Neurospora crassa OR74A: one gene and its partners. The protein of the gene in region 1 purifies or fractionates together with the protein of each later gene. This does not show direct contact. Links are inferred from orthologs where the notes say so. Each region holds a gene or a part of one and is shown in the gene's direction. Other genes may lie near its edges. The genes, in order: NCU01992, NCU04404, NCU00493 and NCU08811.

Region 1 (5,257 bases):
GACGCTCAACAATCGCCGCCTTTGGCGTACCCCAGTAATCCGAGTGCTTTTCAAAACGGCACTCTTTACGCACAGTCAGCCGCCCAGCTAGGCCGACCTAAGAGAGCTTCGCCGAGCGGTAATGATGGTGTAGTCGATGGATCAGATGTGAGCAAACCGCCAGCCAAAAAGCCAAGGACCCGTCGCCCGAGGCCTGCTGTCCCCACTCCTGCCGCAGAGGGTGCAATGGGGGATGTTGGGACGCCGTCTTCATCTGCCGCTACTGCTGCTGCCGCTGTCGCTGCTGTGGCTAGGTATTCACCGTCCTCAGGCACGAAGGCTGAGCCTGACCTCGACGCCGTGTCGCAACGCTCGAGAGAGCTCTCGGCAGCTAACCGGAAAGCCAGAGGACCACAGAGTCGGTCACCCTGGCTTCGCGATGACATCAGGATGTTGATCAAGGCAGTGGATACGTACAAGTGTAAATGGAGCGTCATCGAGAAGGAAATAAAGGAGGGGAAAATCCCTTTTGAGCGCCCTCGTGACCAGCAGGCTTTGCGAGACAAAGCTCGCTTGCTAAAGCAGGACTTCTTAAAGTGAGTGACTTGACGCCTTGCTTACTAAACCTTATCTGGCCGCTACTGACACGTCTGGTACAGGGCTGATGCTATTTTGCCTCCGTCCTTTGATCTCGTTGTGCTGGGCAAAAAAGAGAAAGAAGCTGTGAAGGCATGCGGCAAAAATCCCGACCGCAAGGAAGACGACGTCCGGAACGGGTTTCCCATCAATACTGATTATCACGCGCAAGAGCCGATGCAGGAGCAAGCAAGCGCCGCCGAAGCGGAGGACCAAGCGCAGGTGCAGGGCGAGGAACAACCGGACATGCAACTCGAAACACAGGCGGAGGTACAGACTGAGGCGCAACCCGAGGCCTCGGCAGTGGTCTCAGATGAGGTGCCTGTCGATGCAGAAGCGATAGAAGCTGCTTCCACATCATAGGGTCCATTTGTGTATCCGATCGCTGATGCTACGCAGGTGAGGGCCGTAGCAGGAGAGTGATATAAGAAGCTGTGCCTAAGAGTACGCCCCAAAAGAGAGCAAGCAAACATACTAGAAAACAAATCATGCTTTTATGAGCCAAAGCAAGGCTATATGTCCTTTTGGAGGAAGACGAAAAGGAAGAGATGGGTACAATGGATGCTCGGACCAACTGTATCCTTAAGTACAGGCTGGGACTACCGTTGAGGAGAACCAATTGACAGCAAGAAGGGCTCACGATAATGCAATTTGAGTAAAGTAGTCAGTATCAAGCTGTCATTCAAGCCGAAAGGGAAGGCGGCCACCTAGACCGAGTGTGGGATGTAAAGCTTGGCACTGAACAGGTCCAAGTAAAGTATCAATAGTTATCATGGTGATTACTACGTACTAGCAATCTTGGTTCTATTTTTCCTTCAGAAGCACAAGTGAGGTGACCTGGCAGGTTGAACAATGTCAAGTTTGTCTTCCAGGAACAACATCCCGTGTGATTATATTGAAAATAATTAAACTCGATGATCTACTCAGGAGGCGGGAGGGAAGCATCTATGTAGAGGTAACTAGGTATGTACATATTGGAAGGGTGGTCTGTGCGCTGTAACACCCGCTCCTTGAGGTTGACGATGCACATGGAGAAGCTTGCTCCTGCCGGGAGGCTTTCAGCCTCTAACTGGCGAGACTGGCAGCGTGGCCCGGGAGCACGGACTCCCTGACACCTCAGTGGACTCCCCCTCGACTGTGCAGTGGAATTGGCAACGTCGCGGGTTTGGGGATACCCGCTTGCTGGCCGCACCGTCGCACAGGCAACACGCTACTCCGTTATTTCGTACCTCTATTGTTCTAGCCTCGACTTACTTGCCTCAACAACAACAACTTGGGTTTCCCAAATCCACATCACACCTCCAGCACCCATCGTCGCCCTGCCCGCCATGAATTACGGCAAAAAGGACGAGGATGCTGAGACGGGTCTGGTCAAGGTCGACCGGACCCAGGTCTTCCAGGAGGGTGAGTCCGAGTACCTTGGCAGCTGAGGCATTGTTCGTCGGGTGGACGTGGCCCTTATACTCTCCTAACCTCCTCAAGACTGACCGGTTCGACATACAGCCCGCCTCTTCAACAACTCCCCCATTCAGCCGCGCAAATGTCGTATCCTCCTCACCAAGATTGCTCTCCTCCTCTACACCGGCGAAAGATTCCCGACAAACGAAGCCACGACGCTGTTTTTTGGTATTTCGAAGCTCTTCCAGAACAAAGATGCCAGCCTACGACAGATGGTCCACCTTGTCATCAAGGAGCTGGCCAACTCGGCCGAGGATATTATTATGGTTACCAGCACCATTATGAAGGATACTGGCGGTAGTACCGATGCCATCTACCGCCCGAATGCCATCCGCGCCCTTTGCCGCATCATCGATGTAAGCCTCCCCCTTCCTCGACCCCTTAATGGTTATCCGATGTGGAGCTAACCCCGACCTTGTGCAGGCCACCACAGTACAGTCCATCGAGCGTGTCATGAAGACGGCCATTGTCGACAGAAACCCCTCAGTATCCTCTGCCGCCCTCGTATCGTCATATCACCTTCTCCCCGTCGCCAAGGACGTCGTCAAACGGTGGCAGAATGAGACCTCGGAAGCGGCAGCTAACACCAAGTCTACCGGCGGTTTCTCCCTCGGTTTCGGATCTTCCAACAGAGATCTGCCCATCAACAGCTCGACTATGACCCAATACCATGCCATTGGCTTGCTTTATCAGATGCGCATGCACGACAGGATGGCGTTGGTGAAGATGGTCCAGCAGTTCGGTGCTCCCGGTGCCGTCAAGAACCCCGCTGCTCTCATGTTGCTCGTCCGTCTTGCCGCCCAGCTGGCCGACGAAGACCCACACCTTAGGAAGCCCATGATGCAGCTGCTGGATGGCTGGCTCAGGCACAAGAGCGAAATGGTCAACTTCGAGGCCGCAAAGGCGATTTGCGATATGCGGGATGTCACCGACGCTGAGGTCACCCAGGCAGTCCATGTCCTCCAACTTTTCCTTACCTCGCCCCGCGCTGTCACCAAGTTCGCCGCTCTTCGCATTCTCCACAACTTCGCTTCGTTCAAGCCGGCGGCCGTTGCTGTATGCAACCCGGACATTGAGCTCCTCATCTCCAACAGCAACCGCTCCATCGCTACTTTTGCCATTACTACCCTACTCAAGACCGGAAACGAGGCCAGCGTGGATCGTCTGATGAAGCAAATTTCTGGCTTCATGTCTGAAATCACCGATGAGTTCAAGATTACGATTGTCGAAGCCATCCGTACTCTATGCCTCAAGTTTCCCAGCAAGCAGGCCGGCATGCTCCAGTTCCTCAGTGGTATTTTGCGCGATGAGGGTGGCTATGAGTTTAAGCGCGCCGTGGTGGAGAGCATGTTCGATCTTATCAAGTTCGTCCCCGAATCTAAGGAGGAGGCTCTCGCTCACCTGTGCGAGTTTATTGAGGACTGCGAGTTCACCAAGTTGGCAGTCCGTGTCCTTCACCTCCTCGGTCTTGAGGGACCCAAGACATCCCAGCCTACCAAGTACATCCGATACATCTACAACCGGGTGGTTCTCGAGAACTCCATTGTGCGCGCCGCAGCGGTCACTGCCCTTGCCAAATTTGGTGTCGGCCAGAAAGATCCTGAAGTCAAGCGCAGCGTAGAGGTTCTCCTCACCAGGTGTCTGGATGATGTTGATGACGAGGTTCGCGATCGTGCTGCTCTCAACCTCAAGCTTATGAAGGAAGAGGATGAGCTTGCGAACAGGTTTGTCAAGAATGGTAAGTTCTCGTCTACTTTATGTTACGTTTGCCGGATGCGATCACATACTGACATGTCAACAGACAGCATGTTCTCGTTGCCCTTTTTCGAGCATCAGCTCGTCACGTATGTTACTTCTGATGACAGGTCGACATTCGAGGCGCCTTTCGACATCTCCAAGATCCCTGTTGTTACCCGCGAACAAGCAGATGCCGAGGATAGGACCAAGAAGCTTACTGCTACGACACCTTCACTCAAGCCACCCAAGGTCGGACCAACCAAGGCGGCTCCCACCAGCGCCGAGGCAGCCGCATCTGCCTCGGCAGCTGCGCAAAAATATGCGCAGGAGTTGATGCAGATTCCCGAGATGGCAGAATTTGGCGCCGTTCTCAAGTCGTCGCCGGTGGTAGAGTTGACCGAGGCGGAGACCGAATACGTCGTTGGAGTTGTCAAGCATATTTTCAAGGAGCATATTGTGCTCCAGTACGAGGTCAAGAACACCCTTCCCGACACCGTATTAGAGAACGTCTCTGTCGTAGCTACTCCCGCGGAAGAAGAGCTTGAAGAATTATTCATTATTCAGGCTGAGAAGCTCGAGACCGACGTTCCTGGAAAGGTATATGTGGCATTCAGAAAGGTCAGCGGTGAGGGTTCGCTACCAGTTAGCACCTTCTCCAACGTCCTCAAGTTCACCAGCAAGGAGATTGATCCCAGCACCGGTGAGCCTGAAGAAACCGGCTACGATGACGAGTACGAGGTTGCCGAGTTTGACCTGGCGGGAAGCGACTATGTCATTCCCGTATTTGCCAGCAACTTTGCGCACATCTGGGAGCAGGTTGGCGCTTCTGGGGAAGAGGCGGAGGAGACATTGCTACTCAGCAGCATGAAGAGCATATCAGGTACGTAAAATTCTCTGGTCCTTGGTTTCTGCCAAACCCATTTATTAACATCCTACAGACGCAACCGAACAACTAGCAAAGACTTTGTCGCTACAACCCCTTGAAGGAACAGATGTACCCCTCAACCAGACCACACATACGCTCAAGCTCCTCGGAAAGACCGTCAACGGCGGCAGAGTGGTTGCCAACGTCCGTATGGCTTTCTCGGCCAAGTCGGGTGTTACTACCAAGATCACTGTCAGGAGTGAGGAGGAAGGTGTGGCTGCTTTGATCGTGGCGTCTGTTGCTTAAAGAGCTTAATGAAACGGGCGAGGTATCAACTATGCCCTTGGCTTTGATAACTTGAGGGATGTTCGTTGTTTGGTGTTAGCTTGTTGTCCGTATGGCGTTTTACCCCAAACTTAGTACTCTATTATTAGTCGCGTCATACTATCTGGTAGAGAAAGACAGAATTACGTTCTTTCTTCTGGATAGCATGAGAGTTCTGTAGGTGCTGTGTTGGCTGCTCACACTATGAACAAAACCGCGAGATATCTGATTATACTGTTCGTCCTGCCAGGGTCGATC
Region 2 (5,371 bases), on another chromosome or scaffold:
GGAGAAGCGCTGCCGAGCCAAAGCATGCAGTTTGGCGGTGTCGACGGAAGCTTCAGGGGTTCGATAGAGCTTATCGCGGTGGAGATCCTTCACGTCAGTAGCCCCACCGAGGTAACTTCCACTTCCATCTCGAGTGACCCTTCCCGATCCGTCGCACATGCCAGGAACGTCGACGACGAAGGGCTCCAGGATGGACCGAGTTTCACGAAGCATTTTGTACTACTTGGATTTACCATAAACTGAAGCCATTTCGCATTGGATGTGTCTCGGAAGGAAAGTCTACCCCGCGTTACTCGTCAAGCGAAAAGTTACACAGCATAACCGGTCTACCGCCAATAAGAGCCAAAAGTCGGAGAGTTGGATCGATTAACTTCTTACTTTGACATGTGCGGACCTTGTTACTGCTTTAAAGTTGGTAGCCCAACCTTTTGTCACTTGATCAATCGTGATTCAAGACCAGCCATGGCAGGTCTCTCTTCACATAGAGGTACGAATCGAATTTGTTGTACGAATCGTACAGCGGCATGCTTTTGGTGTGCTTCGTAATGAGATGTCGGTGTTCCATCACTCGGTCTCCGCCTGGCAACTGCATCGGATATCTTGCCTCACACTGCTTGGTTGGTCATCATCAATAGCTGACACAAACAGCCATGACGACTCTTAGGTTCGGGGGCCAGTGGGGCGATTGGTCGATAATGTATACGATTGTGCCAGTCCCGAAGTTATCCATGTTAAATCCAGTTTCAAGAAACCCATCTGCGCCGCCAATAGATAGAAAAGAACGCCTTTATAAAACGCCGCATTATCCCACAAAATCTCTCCTTTCCATGAGTAAGGATATATCAAACTCGGGGTATTCGTTCGTGTCGGAAGATTAAATGGGCTTGATCTTGAAGTGCAAGGCAATGAGACTGAACACCAGCGCCTTGAGGTCCTGAACGAGGTAGTAGAAGACGCGCAAGCCTTCTGGGTCGGCCGAGTCCGTAACATCGTTGATCGATCCGATCTTGGCAGTCTATTTCCTGTATTAGCTCTGAACATTTTGCAGAAATAGATTCCGACACTGGCAAGACGCACCTCGAATGAAATGTGGTCGTTCCCGAGGCGGATCTCCAACTCCTGCTTTCCGTCTTTGTTTTTGGTCGGCCATTTCTCGTCGTCTTCCCTGTTGGCCTGTCAGCAGCCGCTCCATGTTGTTTGTATAAAAGGGTGAACATGATGTCGTACTTCATAATCTCGCTGTCCTTGATGATGCGCTTGATCTCGTCAATGACCAGAGAGCTGACGCACACTAAAAGAGACCCTCGTCAGTATATGGATGTCCACGGCCGGCTAAACAGTGTTTCCTACTCTCTTTCCTGATCAGACTGTCGTTACGGTAGTTGGAGTTGTTGGCATATCGGGCAGTGGCGCTACGTCCGTCGCCGAGGACGCGAAAGTCGAACTCTGTAGTCAAAGGGCGGTAGTTTAGCATCGTGGTCGTGGAAACGTGGGAGCTTGCGTCTCGAGGCGCAAATGGCTGAACACACCTAGGAACTCGTGGCCGAAGCGGCCCGAGTGGCCAGAGCTAAGCCGGCTGTTAGCATGGTGTTTTCAATGTGTGAGTGAATCGAATCCCGTAGGGGTGTACATACTAGTAGCGCAGATAGAAGGGTTCGTTGGCGGCTGACATGGCTGTTTGTTGCTTCTGTCAGTAGTAGGCTTTGCAAGACAAGAGGCAGAGATGCAGCCAGCGGCTTGGTTCCTGTCGCTTTTGGATGGACAACCTTGAAAGTCGCGCCCGCGCGGCCACGCTCCAGTGACATTGGCGGGGCACACGGCCCCACACTTGACCCCAGCTTGGCCCAGGGGCATTGTTTGGGCTCCAAGCTGACTCCGGGTTCACGAGCCTTCCTGACAGCTGGCAATCCGTATCTACACGTGATCCTTCGACTGTTTGGACAAGCTGGCAGATGGCAGACTCGGCCAGGAGATGGAGGCTTGGTGAGGCCGTAAGGGTGTCGGGGGGTCCGTGCTTCGCCGTGTGCTGTTGCGGCCGGCCAGAATGCCACATCTCCCAGGGGCCGTCTCTCGATAGAATTGACCGTCCTATCCACGCTGGCTCTTCCAGACTTCAACAACAAGCACAGGTGATGCTCCGCTCTCTCACCTCGCCGGCGCACTCCAGACAACCCTTTCATTGCGCAGCCGTCTCTTGATTTTCGGCCAACCACGACCCTGTCAGTCCAGGGGGAGGAAACCACATCCAGCACCAAGGCCAGCTCATCGTCACTCTTCAGGAGCTCGAGGCAGCCACTCAGTCCATCCATTTACTAGCACCACGCAACCTACAACGGGGCAAACAACACCTTACCACACCCGCCCCTCTCTAATTTCGATCCGCGACTCCTCTTCAGGACGCCCGGCCAGCTACTTTCTACCAAATTCAATCTCAACTTTAATCAAAGACGGCCCGGCCGCCGCCAGCTCTCCAACATGTCGTTCCTCGAAAATGCCTACAGCTTGGTCAAGGACAATGCCGTCGACGGCACCCCAACCGTGCAGGAGCTCAAGACGCAGCTCGAAAAGGGCACCGACGAGACCAAGATCGAGACCATGAAGCGCATTCTTACCATCATGCTCAATGGCGATCCCATGCCCCAATTGCTCATGCACATTATCCGATTCGTAATGCCTTCTAAATCCAAGCCCCTGAAGAAGCTTCTATACTTCTACTATGAGATCTGCCCCAAGCTTGATGCCCAAGGGAAGCTCAAGCAGGAGTTCATCCTAGTATGGTAAGGCATTCCGTGTCCGTCTGGGCATGCTGGCCCCTCCAAGCTGACCAGCCATTGCCTCGCAGTAACGGCATCCGAAACGACTTGCAACACCCGAACGAGTACATCCGAGGCAACACGCTGCGCTTCCTGTGCAAGCTGCGGGAGGCCGAACTTCTCGAGCCTTTGCTCTCCTCAGCCCGGGGCTGTCTCGAACATCGCCATGCCTATGTCCGAAAGAACGCCGTCTTTGCTGTCGCTTCCATTTACCAGCACTCCCCGTCGCTTATTCCCGATGCTGCGGACTTGATCTCCACGTTCCTCGAAGGCGAAAGCGACCCAACCTGCAAGCGGAATGGCTTCGCCGCCCTTGCCAGCATCGACCACGACAAGGCTCTTCTCTATCTCAGCACCGTCTTTGACGGTATTCCCAACGCAGATGAGCTTTTGCAGTTGGCCGAGTTGGAGTTCATCAGGAAAGATGCTGTTGTCAACACCCAGAACAAGGCGCGCTACCTCCGTCTTATTTTTGACCTTTTGGAAGCTAGTGCCTCGACCGTTATCTACGAAGCGGCCTCGTCGTTGACGGCCCTCACCAACAACCCTGTCGCTGTCAAGGCTGCTGCCAGCAAGTTCATTGAGCTTGCGATCAAGGAGGCGGATAACAATGTCAAGCTTATCGTTCTGGACCGTGTCGATCAACTCCGCCAAAAGAACCCCGGCGTCCTGGACGACCTGACCATGGAGGTGTTGCGCGTTCTCTCTAGCACGGATATCGATGTGCGGAGGAAGGGTCTCGAGATCGCTTTGGAGATGGTCTCCAGCAAGAACGTGGAGGAAGTCGTGCTTTTGCTCAAGAAGGAGCTGTCCAAGACGGTTGACCAGGAGTACGAGAAGAACAACGAGTACCGCCAGCTTCTTATCCACTCCATCCATCAATGCGCTATCAAGTTCTCCGAAGTCGCCGCTAGCGTCGTCGGCTTGCTCATGGACTTTATTGCCGATTTCAACAACAACTCCGCCGTTGATGTTATTAACTTTGTCAAGGAGGTCGTCGAGAAGTTCCCTCAGCTCAGGCCAGCAATCATTGCGAGACTGGTAGATACCCTGAGTGAAGTCCGCGCTGGTAAGATCTACCGCGGTATTCTCTGGATTATCGGCGAGTACTCGCTTGAGGAGAAGGATATCAGGGACGCATGGAAGAGAATTCGGGCAAGCCTGGGTGAGATCCCGATCTTGGCATCCGAGCAACGGTTGCTGGATAATGTTGATGGTGATGCCGAGGAGAAGGAGAAGGAGCAGGTCAATGGCTCAAGGGCAGCGCCGACTGGCTCACGCAAGGTCCTTGCTGACGGCACATACGCTACCGAGACTGCCCTTACCAGCCAGTCTACAGCTGCTGCACGCCTGGAGGCTGTCAAGGCTTCGTCGAAGCCCCCTCTCAGGCAACTTATCCTTGACGGCGATTACTACCTTGCCACTGTTCTCGCATCGACCCTTACCAAGCTTGTCATGCGTCATGCCGAGATCTCCTCGGAAGAGGCTCGCACGAACGCCCTCCGCGCTGAGGCTATGCTCATCATGATCTCCGTCATTCGTGTTGGTCAGTCGCAGTTCGTCAAGGCCCCTATTGATGAAGATTCGGTGGATCGTATCATGAGCTGTGTGCGCTCCCTTGCCGAGTTCACCGCGCACAAGGAGTTGGAGACCGTTTATCTCGAGGATACCAGGAAGGCGTTCAGGGCGATGGTCCAGGTTGAGGAGAAGAAGCGCGCAGCAAAAGAGGCCCACCAAAAGGCAAAGACGGCCACCCAGGTGGACGATGTTTATCAAATCCGCCAGCTTTCCAAGAAGAATGCCACTGATGGGGCTGATGCTTTCGATGCCGATCTCGAGCGTGCCACTGGTGGAGACAACAGCTCGGCTGAGGACCTATCTGGCAAGCTTAGCCGCGTTGTCCAGCTCACCGGTTTCTCCGACCCTGTTTATGCTGAGGCCTATGTCAAGGTCCACCAGTTCGACATTGTACTAGACGTACTACTCGTCAACCAAACAACTGAGACCCTCCAGAACCTTACCGTCGAGTTCGCAACTCTCGGTGACCTCAAGGTTGTGGAGAAGCCGACAAGCCAGAATCTGGGACCCCACGACTTCCACAACGTTCAGTGCACCATCAAGGTCTCCTCCACAGATACTGGTGTCATCTTTGGCAACGTCGTGTATGAGGGTGCTCACTCCACTGATACCCACGTGGTCATCCTGAACGACTTGCACGTCGACATCATGGATTACATCCAACCGGCAACTTGCACTGAGACCCAGTTCCGCACCATGTGGACCGAGTTTGAGTGGGAGAACAAGGTCAACATCAACAGCAAGGCGAAGAGCCTACGTGAGTTCCTGGACCTGCTTATGGCGTCCACAAATATGAACTGCTTGACACCAGAGGCCAGTCTTAAGGGTGATTGCCAGTTCTTGAGCGCCAACCTTTACGCAAGAAGCGTTTTCGGTAAGTTTTCTCGTCATTCGCATAGCACTTTCGGAAATAGCATCGCTAACTTCCCTTCTCTTATTCAGGCGAGGACGCTCTAGCAAACTTGAGCATCGAAAAGGAA
Region 3 (5,327 bases), on another chromosome or scaffold:
GTTCTTCTCCGGGTGTTAACTCCGAGGCAATGACAGAACGGATAGATGCAAGTAATTCCGACAACGGTGCGGTTGCGATCTCAGTATCGGTAAGAAAGTAGGTCTCAGGATCCATGTCCGAGTTCCCAAAGAGGGCATAACTGCCACCATCATACTGGACTGTAATATCTGTGATGCTGAATGCAGCATCATCAACAATGGCCTCGTCATGGTCAATCTGGCTTTCCTCGAGCTGGCGATCCTCGCTCACGGCCTCGCCCGCTTGTTCAGCTCCCGAGACAGCTGTATCCAGAGGGTTGGTAGCTGCAACACCACCGACGTCCAGACCGACATCGGTCTCGGCAACTTGTTCAGTAGCCTCCTGATCAACAGGGTTCTTTGTCTCGGCCTCACGCCCGATCGGCTGCTCTTCCGCATCGTCGCCCAATTTGGACTCAGCAAGATCAATCTGGACGTCCTGGGCTTCCTGTTCCAATTCACGTAGATCTGGATTCTCGTCATTTGCAGACGGCGCTTTTGATATAGTGGTATCTTCGGGCTCGTGTTCAGTAACAGCCTCTTCTGCAACGCCCTCCTCCTCTTCATAACCTATCTCGTCATTGTATGCCATGGAGACATCCTGAGCATCTTGCTCGACGCCGCCTGCCGCCTCTGCTTGCTCATCGTTGGTATTATGCTGAGCCTCGAGGTCATCGACAGCAAATTCAACATCCGCTGTGGCGGGTTGGGCATCAAGATCGATCGCCTGGTACTCATCTTCCTTGTCATGTAGGTCGTCGAGTTCTAAGACAAGCTCGTCGGCTGGCATGCCGGCATCTAGCATCAAGTCATCGTCAAATACCGCCTTCCCCGCCTCGGCACGAACGTCGAAGCTAACTTGCTCCATGATGATTGGCGGTTGGCGGGTCAATCAAAACACGCGCCACAGACGAGTGAGTTGGATCAAGAACGAAAATTTGGAAAATGACGCAAAACTTCCACGAAGTTTCTAAGAAGGTGCGACGTATTGCCGTTGTCAAGAAATTGTACGTCCAGCAAGCGTCATGAAAGAAGCGAAGACGTAGAAAATTGGTGCACTGGTCAAAACCCCAAGCTTGGCGATGGGTTTCGGTGGATGTCTTGGACTGAAAGGCTGTGACTTCTTCTTGGAAGCGAAGCCGTAGGGCATATAGAGACCACGGGTTCTGGAGTTATGGCTGAGAATGGGCAACCCCGCACTCGACAAAGAACGCCCGACAAACAACGGCGCTTCTGGGGCGCAAAATGAAACGGTGAAGGGATGTGAGGCGACACGTGGACTGGCGGAATCCGACAACACGATTTAACCGCTGTTAAGAGTTCTGGGGCGGATGTTCTGGGCAAAAGTGCACATCGAATCGAGGTATGGAATGCTGAAACGCGGCAGGCAGATAATCGGGATGCCTCACTTTCACGGAGCGGCGGAGCTGGGAGGTGGGTGAAGTGCAACGGAGTCGAGTAAGCTCTTGATGACGAGGCGTGTCACAAAGGTAGCGTAGGTATTTGATGATCCGTAATCGAGACTCGTATTGGCTGGGCAATGCTTTGACGCGATTGAGAAACAAGTTTCTCGATGGCGGATGGTTTTTCGAGGTAGGCGATGGTTTGGATGGAAATGGAAATCGTGAAATTTCGACACACGGGGCCGTCTGTTGTGCGTGTTGAAGAAAGAGGTGCAGTTGTTGGTTTTGCCGCAGTGTGTGGACAACGGTGAAATTCGCAGAATTGATCATAGGAAGGAAACTGAACCTAAGCAAGTGCCGCATGGAGTTTAGCGGGCCCTGTGGGTGCCTAGAGGTACCTACCTACTGTACTTGTATCTATGGTGTGCCCCTGGATTTCTTTTGCCAGCTGGCAGCCCCTCGTCGGCCGGCCAGGACGCTGCCACCGTGTACGCAGTAGGTTGCCCTGGCCCGCCTGAACCCGACTGCCCTGACGCTGCAGTGAAGCTGCCGTCCAGGTACCTCTACCTATCGCTGCCCGCTGGGTCCCTCCAGATGGCACCTTCAGTTCAATTGGACCTGACCGACAGCACACCTCAGCACGGCAACGGAAAGACCACATCAACCTTCCCGTCCACGACAACTTTCAGGAGGTGAAGCTCACGACTTACCTCCAACGCATCCCAAAGCTCCCTGCACTACCACGAAGCGCCCTTCGAGTCAGTAGTCGTGGTTGTTGTTTACTGCTGTCAAAATGGTAACTCATCCATCCCTGTCTCCTGGTGGGAAGAAGCGATTGACGGAACATGTCAGGTTGTCCTCGCTGCCTCCATCTGCACCCGCGGCGGCAAGGCCGTCTTAGCCCGCGCCTTCAACGACATCAAGCGCTCCCGCATCGAAGCTCTCCTCGCCTCGTTCCCCAAGGCCGCCGACTCGGGTACTCAGCACACCATTGTCGAGCAAGACAATGTCCGATTCGTCTACCAGCCCCTGGACGAGCTGTACATGGTCCTCATCACCAACAAGCAGTCCAACATCCTTCAGGACATCGACTCGCTCCACCTTTTTGCCCAGGTTGTCACCAGCACCTGCAAGAGCCTTGACGAGCGCGAAATCCTCCGAAATGCCTACGAACTGCTCAGCGCCTTCGATGAGCTGGTGACTCTCGGTTACCGGGAGAACCTCACCATCAGCCAGATCAAGACCTTCCTCGAGATGGAAAGCCACGAGGAGCGCATTCAGGAAATCATTGCCCGCAACAAGGAGCTGGAGGCCACCGAAGAGCGCAAGAGGAAAGCCAAGCAGTTGGAGATGCAGCGCAAGGAGTCGGCCAGAACTGGTCGGTCCGCGGTACCCCGGACGCCGGTATATCCCACATACACCCCGCCGGTGCGACCTGCTGTCACCGAGTCCTATGATACGTACGAAGCCGAGAAGAACAAGGTCAAGTATGTGTTAGTCCCTCTTCTTTTCAGGCTGGCCTGCAAGCTCACATTCTTCTAGGTTCAATGCGCCAAAGGGCAAAGGTATGCAGTTGGGCAAGAAGTCCAAGAATACGGATATTTTCGAGCGCGTGAAGGGGGATCTTGGACACGAGGCCGAGGAAGCGCCCCTTGTTCCGGTAGCCGCGCCGGCAGCTGCCGCAGAGCCTGCTGCTTCCAGAGTCTCTTCGACACTCGACAGGGATGCTATTCACGTCCTTATCAACGAGGCAATCAGTGCCAAGCTGTCGAGAGATGGTGCCCTCGAATCCCTCTCGGTCAGCGGTGACCTCCAGCTTCGCGTCTCCGACCCATCGCTTTCAAGGATCAAGCTCAACCTCAGCGCCACACCCACCCACGGCGCCCAGTTCCGCACTCACCCGAACGTCGATAAGAATGTCTTCAATAGCTCCCAGGCTATCCAGTTGTCTCAAATCACAAAGGGTTTCCCCCTTAACAACTCTGTCGGAGTTCTAAGGTGGCGGGCCAGTCCCAGAGTCGACGACACCAGCGCACTACCAATCAGCTTCACCGTTTGGGTCAACAAGGGCTCGGATGGCAACAGCACATTGACGGTCGAGTACGAGCTCACTGGCGGAGATACCCTCAAGGACGTTACTGTCGTCATCCCCTACACGAGCGCAGAGCCTCAGGTGTCTAGCTTCGACGCTGTGTATGAGGTGTCTGGTGACAGTCTAGAGTGGTCGATAGGCACCGTAAGCGAGGAGAACGCCAGCGGATCATTCGAGTTTGAGGCGCAGACCGATGACGAGAACGAGTTCTTCCCGATGCAAGTACGGTTCTCCAAGTCGTGGCCGTTCGTGGAGGTTGATGTAAGATGTCGCCCCCTCATGTCAGAAAAACGGGTAAAGACGGAACAACTGACACATTCTAGGTTCAATCTGTTGAGCTGGTGGATGAAGGTGAAGAGGTTTCGTTTTCCAAGGACATCAGATCGGTGGCCGACAAGTTCCTCATTGAGTAGGGTTTGTTGTCATTGTTTTGAGCAGAACCAAAAAAGGGCGACCGTAGCATGCCGGCCAGGCGTCTCGATCATCATCTTCCACACCAGAATTAGAGTAATGTATGGGAAGCAACCGAGTTGTCCAACTCCCTTTATAATGAATACTGTTGTACATGGTCCGCGCCAGTGGGTGCTCGAGCTGTCATTCCTTTTCTTCCGTTGATACCCAAGGTCATACTTGACTTTTTGAACAAGAGGTTTTTGACGCTCCCGGGATCCTTGAAAGTAACATGTAAGCTACGAGCCCTACGCATTTTTAAGGGGATGGATACCCTCATGATCCAGTACCATATAGAAAGAAGCCTATCTACGCAAAGAGCTATCCAACTCAATCATCGCTGTTGTAAGCACAGAGTATGGTAATTGATGTCGATGTGTGTAGTTCGCTAGGTAAGCTTGTAAAGGTCATACCTACACAGTACGGATGCCCCTGCACAGTATTTCTATTACTGTGGCAACTGCTCTATCTGCACTGTGTTTTGAATCAACAGGCAGGACGAGACCACACGACTGAATCGCAGAACAGCAGCAACAACAACAACAACATCACGCCGAGGCAAGTGAAGCTGTAGGTCTAGCAAACCAAAACCGAAATCCCCCAAACATACAAACCGACTTGCCAAGTTATGGACTTGCGCGTGTCATTCAAATCAAAATCTTGCGTCCCGGAGTTGAAGGCTGGAACCACTTAGCCGCTGCTTTCCACGTCCAAATAACATCATCCAACTGAAAGTCACCAACGGATCCTACAAAATGTCCCCAAATGGGCAGCTTCAGCTATTCAGTTCAAGCGCCTTGAGTGTGCCAGTCTCAGGCAAGCAAATCGTATGCAATCCCGTGATCGACTTGACAGCCACGGTCGGCGACGGTAACACGATCTATGTCTGGCGTGGCAGCAATCAGTTGGTCTCGAAGCATACAGAACGAAACCAGAAGGTTGATGCAATCAAGTGGAAAGAGGATGGTAAGTGAAGATCTTCCGATGGCTGTTGAGGGAAACCACTGTCTTACAGGGAATTCGCAGGCCAATTCTTAGCTGCCGGCTGGAGTGACGGCGTGGTGAGGTTGATCGGCTTGGAAAGCAACAAAGCCGTGCATCACATCCGCGTGGCAGGTCATGGTGGAAAGCCTTCTAAGATTGAGTTCATCGCCTGGGCCAAAAACGAAACTGGTAGGAAGTCGCGTGCCAGGAAGCATAATGACCTCCCCGACTTGCCGTGGCGGGATCTCATGCTCGATGAGAAGAAGCATGTTCTGGACCTCCCTCATGAGTTGACTTTTCTGGAAATCGAGACTGCTCTCCCCAAAATTAGTCCTCTTCCTTTGTCGGGAGGCATCGGGTATGTGTACAGGACCCATGAG
Region 4 (5,442 bases), on another chromosome or scaffold:
CAGATGTCCAAGTGGATTGCCAAGATGGAGGGCCAAGAGGGATCTAACTAGTCGCTCTGTCCAAATGGACTTATTCACCAAGGCCCAAACGGCCAGATATGTCATGGTTGCGGAGGAAGCTGTTGAGAAAAAGCCGACAGTAATCTCTCGGTTGGATGGTGTCTGCATGGATACGAATGCCATCGTCATCTCGATCGGATCGATTCCGATACAACCAAGAGTTTGCCCACGATAGCGACAAGAAACAAAGTCGCTGGTTGGCTGGGCGTAACAGCCACTCATCGAAAAGGGGAAAAGGGCGAAAGGAAAAAGGTGGTGTTCACGAAGCGAAAAGGAAACGGTGATTGGTTTTCTGGTGTAGCATTATTGGTGTCTCCTTGGTCATCATTAACCCGGCGGCGTTTGGGCTTGTTTATGATGGGCGGCGCTTAGGTCATTTTTTGTCCGCAAGCATGCCAGAGCGGCGAGACAGGAAGGGTTATTATTGTATTTGAATATCACTCTGATCATATCTAAGGATTGGTGGCTGGTCTTGTTGAAGAAAGACTTGAAAGGCGATGGAATAGCACTGCAACAGTTTAGGGTCATTCAGGAAGCTCTCTGATTTGATTTTCAGGAAAAGAGAAGGGCATGACAGAGTACAAGCAACTGCGGTCTTGGTATCCGTACCAACGATGAGGACATATAATGAAAGCACTCTAATTCCAATTTGCAGACTTGTTCTCATATCCAACGTGCGATGCTAAGCCTCCATGACGCATCATAATGACACACCGAAGATAACAAACATACTCATTGAAAGAAACAAGACTAACCGGCAAACCCATATTTCACTGCATCGCCGTTCATCATTGCAACAATGACCAGCAGCCTTGAACAATATTCATACAAGCGAATGGAAGCCTTTCAGTTCCACTTGACACCCAAGAACTTGAACTCCTTGTTGCCACCCTTCTTAGCAGCCGCCACTTCTGCCTCCTTATTCTCCAAGTAAATTCTCTGATGTCCCCTCACATCCACGTAAAAGGTCTGGTACTCATGCTCCCAGTGACCTGGTTGCTTGGTCAGATGCAGCCCGACGACACCAGAACCTCTTGGTCCTTCGACCTGTTTTTCTTGGTGTTAGCCCCATCATCACAACAAATTTTTAACAAAACAGGGGAAAGAAAAAGAAGAAGAAGAAGTAAAACGAACATGGAAATGCATCTTTAGATGCTCCACACCCCTATTATCCTTCTCGACCGTTGCCGCGATCGGCCGCGCCCGGCGCCACTTGTTGTGTGTCTCTTCGCCGTGAGCAGCAATCTTCTTTGGGTCGCCGGGCGAAAGAAGGGCGACGCAGCGAGGGTCGGCACGGATCCGGTCAACGGCTCGGTTGAAGTAGGCGGTTTTGGACTCTGGGGAGAACACGTCGGTGAAGAGTAGGTAGGCAATTCCTCCCTGTGTGGTAGAGTTAGTACTACACACAACACACCGGAGTGAGCGATGAATTGGGAAGAAGAAAGCGTACGGTCAAAACCACACCCAAAATCACCAGACCAAAGTTGAACGTTTGCTGGACGGCGCGCCCGGCTTTTTCACCGGTGGAGAGCCGAGTCCAGGGCACATGGCCATCATCATTGAAGGGCGTTACGGATCTCCTCTTGGAACTTTCTTGCGTAGTCGCATATTGCCGGCGCGATGAGACGAGAATGACGCTAGCTGCTGTCGGAGGAAGAGCTCTCGAAGCTGCTGTGGTAATGGTTGCTTGTTGACGGACCACGGCGGGGCTCAGAAGAAGCCTCACACCCGCCGAAGTACCTGTGAGCATTTTCATCATGGAGGCTTCAACACAACACCCATATTTCAACGGCAATGTTTCAGCCGTTTGCGATTGTTATGAGAGCTTCAATGAGAATGAGAGGTCCGAACGAAGCTGTGATGAGCTGCGGTTGGATGAAGCTTTGGAACCGTTTGCCGGCACGGCATCTTTCCCGGCAGAGGAGGTCCGTCCGGCGAGGGGTGGAGTCGGGTTCGTGTTGCGCTCCACTAGGTAGAGACGGGACTGTGTGCCAAGGCGCCAAGATGCCACATGGAAGGGCGAACCTCCATGAGCAAGTGGAAGCGTCTGATTCTTGGCTGGGGAACACAAAGAAATGTGGCCCAACGTTCCAGTGGACGTTCCAATACCATACAGGTACGTAGGTAGGTTGCCAGGCAGCCCGGCTCTCTCCGCTGGGGCTCCCCCCCCGTCTCCTGAATTAACTGCGAGCGAATGACAACACTTGAAAGATTGACAACTTGTAACAAGCCCGAAAACCTACAGCGCCGCCTTGTTTGACTTCTCTCCCTCTTCTGCCCCCTTTTTCACCTTCCCCCCCCTGACGGCAGCACCGACCTACCGACCCTGACAACCTAACCGAGCAAAGGGGTCATCAACAACGACAGTCGAGATCTAGTGACACATCACAACCCTGGCAAAGGACAGACATACCTAATCCGAACCATCACCGGACTGCCGACCGACAAGATGAGCGGTCTCGCGACAAAGCAGCAGTCGCTCAAGCTTTTTGAGAAGCTCAAGGCGAAGCCAGCCAACAAGGTATGTGCCCACGCGAGCAGCGATCGACCCTAGACATCCAGAAAGCTAACTGCTGCCTCCCTTCCCGCGAACAACAGATCTGCTTCGACTGCGGCCAAAAGAACCCAACATGGACCTCGGTCCCCTTTGGCATCTACCTCTGCCTCGATTGCTCGGCCAACCACCGCAACCTCGGCGTTCACATTTCCTTTGTGCGGTCTACTAACCTCGACCGTATGTGCCCTCTCGATCTTTACTCCACGACGCGACACCTCGCCCGCTAACGCGAACCTTGTTCTTGTACAGAATGGCAATGGGACCAGCTACGGATCATGAAGGTGGGCGGCAATGAGTCGGCAACCAAGTTCTTTCAGCAAAACGGTGGTTCCGCCGCCTTGAACAGCAAGGACCCCAAGACCAAGTACCAATCTGCTGCCGCGACCAAGTACAAGGAGGAGCTCAAGAAGAGGGCTGCTAGGGACGCCCGCGAGTATGCAATGCCCCTACCCCTCATTTACACAAACCTGTTTTATTCCACGTTACATGAAATGCAATGCTGACGCGCTGTTTACCTCCCACCCAGATACCCCGAAGAAGTTGTCATCACCGACGGTGACGATGCCACAAGCAGCAACACCCCGGCCGGCGAGCCCGACGACGACTTCTTTTCCTCGTGGGACAAGCCCGCCATCAAGAAGCCCACGCCACCCATTTCCCGCACTTCCACACCCCCCGTCATCGGCCGCACCGCCTCCCCGCTCCTCGGCAACGGCAAGGACATCCAGCGCACTTCCTCGCCGCTCTCCAAGACCGATTCCGATGCTCCCACTCCCGCCCCCGCCGCCAGCCGCATCACCACCTCCGCGGCCCTAAGGAAAACCACCCCCGGCAGCAGCACCACCGGCGGCCCGCGCAAGGTGGGCGGCGGCATCCTAGGCGCCAAGAAGCCCGCGGCTAAGCTGGGCGTCAAGAAGATTTCGGCGGACCTGATCGATTTCGACGAGGCGGAGAAGAAGGCCAAGGAGGAGGCGGAGCGCATCGAGAAGCTGGGTTACGATCCCGAGGCGGAGGAGGAGAAGGCGGCGAAGAAGGCCGAGACCAAGACCAATAATATCATCACCCCTGCTGCGGCGCCAGTCAGCTCCTCCAGTTCGCGGTCGGCGGCGCAGGAGAAGTCGGCTGCTGAGGTGGAGAGGCTAGGTATGGGTGTCAGGAAGCTGGGTTTCGGTATGGTGGGCAAGCCCGGTGGTGCTGGTGCTGCGGCGGGCGCGGGAGGAGCGGCGGCGGCGAAGAAGAATGCGGGTGGGTTTGGAAGTGTTGGGCCTATTAAGGCTAGTGAGGGTATGTTTTTTTTTTCCCTCCTTTCCCTTTCTTTTTTTTTCTTTTTCTTACGCAATACTAACCAACATCGATACGAAACAGCCGACGAAGAACAATACGCCCGCAACAAGTTCGCCAACCAAAAGGCCATCTCTTCGGACGAGTTTTTCAACAAGGGCAACTACGACCCCTCGGTCAAGGCCGAGACCAAGGCCCGTCTACAAGGCTTCGAGGGTGCCCAGGCCATCTCTTCCAATGCCTACTTTGGTCGTCCCGAGGACGACGCGCCCGCCGAAGACTACGGCGACCTCGAGTCTGCCGCCAAGGACTTCATTCGCAAGTTTGGCATCACTGCCAGCGATGATCTGGAGAACCTTACGCAGATGGTGGGTGAGGGTGCCGGGAGGTTGCAGGGTGCTATCAGGGCTTATCTTGGGAGCTGAGCGGTGGAAATGGAAGAATGAGGCAGCAGTGTGGGTGGGCAGCTGGACGTGATGGGCGAAGGGAATTACCTAGTTATGAGACAGAAAGATGTGGACGAGCGGGTAAGGCTTCCTTTTAGTAAAAATTAGTATTTGTAGTGTAATGGTGAATGAATGTTTTATGGTAGAGAGCACTAGTAGTCTGGGCAGATGATGCGGGTTTCTGATATCTAACGAAGAGGATGACGGCCAGGATCTGGATGAGCTGTTCTCACATCCGTGGCGTAGGGGGATCTTGGTAAGTGACCACGGGAAGTATTCAAGCAACAAGAAAGAGATATGATGGTGTTCTATAGCGTACGGTTTTTCGATTACGGTGGCAGTCGAGGTTGACAGGGAGAGATCGTGATGTTGATCAGGGTTTCAGCGAGATTTTTGCTAATAACTGACTCGCGCAACCATAATAGAAGCTACTGATATAGGGCCTACCTTCAGCGTAATTCTATCAATAACAACAGCTGGTCCGATGGTGTAGTTGGTTATCACGTCAGTCTAACACACTGAAGGTCCCCAGATCGAGCCTGGGTCGGATCATGAACCAAACTTTCTTTTTTTGCGATTGTTTTTGTTTTTTTATTGACCTAATGTTCTCGGCCCCCTTTTTTTTTTTTTTTTTTTTTTTTTTTTCCCTTTCCTGCAGGAGGAGGGAGAAGGGGGGGGGGGGGGGGGGGGGGAAGAATCGTCAGTCGCGCAGTGGTCACTTGCACTTTACCACTTGGTCCATGCTGTGCAGTCCACAATCCTCGTTGAAGTCTTTGCAAATAAAGACCTCTAGATGATGTGCCCTGCTTTCGGATTTACAATACGGTGTTTCTGAGGCGCAAGCAAGACCGAATGTCATTGCCATGCAAACGGTGGAGATATCCATAGGGAAGGTCACGATGGAAACCCTAGGGTTTTGCTTAGACCGAGCTGAAGTAAGGTGTTATGTTATTTATGGCTCTGATCTGGGCGGCATTGCCTGGAAATGGGACTGGATTGACGGACTGCGGTAGGGGCTGTTTCTTCAAGGTGTAAGATCTCACTTGCACAGATATTGGCGTTGAAGATTTATGTTAAATACAAAGACACGAACGTCTG

What was found.
Region 2: the proteins of NCU01992 (region 1) and NCU04404 purify together in Saccharomyces cerevisiae (affinity purification with mass spectrometry; 4 studies listed by BioGRID). This does not show direct contact. The link is inferred for Neurospora crassa OR74A from reciprocal best matches to the Saccharomyces cerevisiae genes SEC21 and SEC26.
Region 3: the proteins of NCU01992 (region 1) and NCU00493 purify together in Saccharomyces cerevisiae (affinity purification with mass spectrometry; 4 studies listed by BioGRID). This does not show direct contact. The link is inferred for Neurospora crassa OR74A from reciprocal best matches to the Saccharomyces cerevisiae genes SEC21 and RET2.
Region 4: the proteins of NCU01992 (region 1) and NCU08811 purify together in Saccharomyces cerevisiae (affinity purification with mass spectrometry; 5 studies listed by BioGRID, with this or other methods). This does not show direct contact. The link is inferred for Neurospora crassa OR74A from reciprocal best matches to the Saccharomyces cerevisiae genes SEC21 and GLO3.

The regions. Positions count from the first base shown.
Region 1 is NC_026501.1:1,751,964-1,757,220, reverse strand, and holds the start of NCU01992 (coatomer subunit gamma), read left to right. Parts: upstream 1-1,771; 5' UTR 1,772-1,943; coding exon 1,944-2,019; intron 2,020-2,118; coding exon 2,119-2,429; intron 2,430-2,496; coding exon 2,497-3,811; intron 3,812-3,874; coding exon 3,875-4,690; intron 4,691-4,748; coding exon 4,749-4,981; 3' UTR 4,982-5,257. Other genes in the region: NCU01991 (hypothetical protein), read left to right, coding at 1-575, 639-978. UniProt on the Saccharomyces cerevisiae protein: The coatomer is a cytosolic protein complex that binds to dilysine motifs and reversibly associates with Golgi non-clathrin-coated vesicles, which further mediate biosynthetic protein transport from the ER, via the Golgi up to the trans Golgi network.
Region 2 is NC_026504.1:3,470,718-3,476,088, forward strand, and holds the start of NCU04404 (coatomer beta subunit), read left to right. Parts: upstream 1-2,037; 5' UTR 2,038-2,475; coding exon 2,476-2,777; intron 2,778-2,842; coding exon 2,843-5,265; intron 5,266-5,333; coding exon 5,334-5,371. Other genes in the region: NCU04405 (mago nashi protein), read right to left, coding at 875-1,015, 1,078-1,165, 1,228-1,291, 1,351-1,446, 1,530-1,567, 1,635-1,672. UniProt on the Saccharomyces cerevisiae protein: The coatomer is a cytosolic protein complex that binds to dilysine motifs and reversibly associates with Golgi non-clathrin-coated vesicles, which further mediate biosynthetic protein transport from the ER, via the Golgi up to the trans Golgi network.
Region 3 is NC_026503.1:4,046,790-4,052,116, forward strand, and holds NCU00493 (coatomer subunit delta), read left to right. Parts: upstream 1-1,934; 5' UTR 1,935-2,214; coding exon 2,215-2,217; intron 2,218-2,273; coding exon 2,274-2,908; intron 2,909-2,963; coding exon 2,964-3,774; intron 3,775-3,836; coding exon 3,837-3,926; 3' UTR 3,927-4,286; downstream 4,287-5,327. Other genes in the region: NCU00492 (hypothetical protein), read right to left, coding at 1-886; NCU00494 (hypothetical protein), read left to right, coding at 4,719-4,929, 4,990-5,305. UniProt on the Saccharomyces cerevisiae protein: The coatomer is a cytosolic protein complex that binds to dilysine motifs and reversibly associates with Golgi non-clathrin-coated vesicles, which further mediate biosynthetic protein transport from the ER, via the Golgi up to the trans Golgi network.
Region 4 is NC_026504.1:5,157,483-5,162,924, reverse strand, and holds NCU08811 (arf GTPase-activating protein), read left to right. Parts: upstream 1-2,173; 5' UTR 2,174-2,509; coding exon 2,510-2,581; intron 2,582-2,658; coding exon 2,659-2,794; intron 2,795-2,866; coding exon 2,867-3,050; intron 3,051-3,143; coding exon 3,144-3,901; intron 3,902-3,982; coding exon 3,983-4,323; 3' UTR 4,324-4,648; downstream 4,649-5,442. Other genes in the region: bdp-1 (bromodomain protein-1), read left to right, coding at 1-51; NCU08810 (mitochondrial import inner membrane translocase subunit tim-21), read right to left, coding at 907-1,107, 1,195-1,440, 1,511-1,819. UniProt on the Saccharomyces cerevisiae protein: GTPase-activating protein for the ADP ribosylation factor (ARF) family. Involved in retrograde vesicular transport from the Golgi to the endoplasmic reticulum.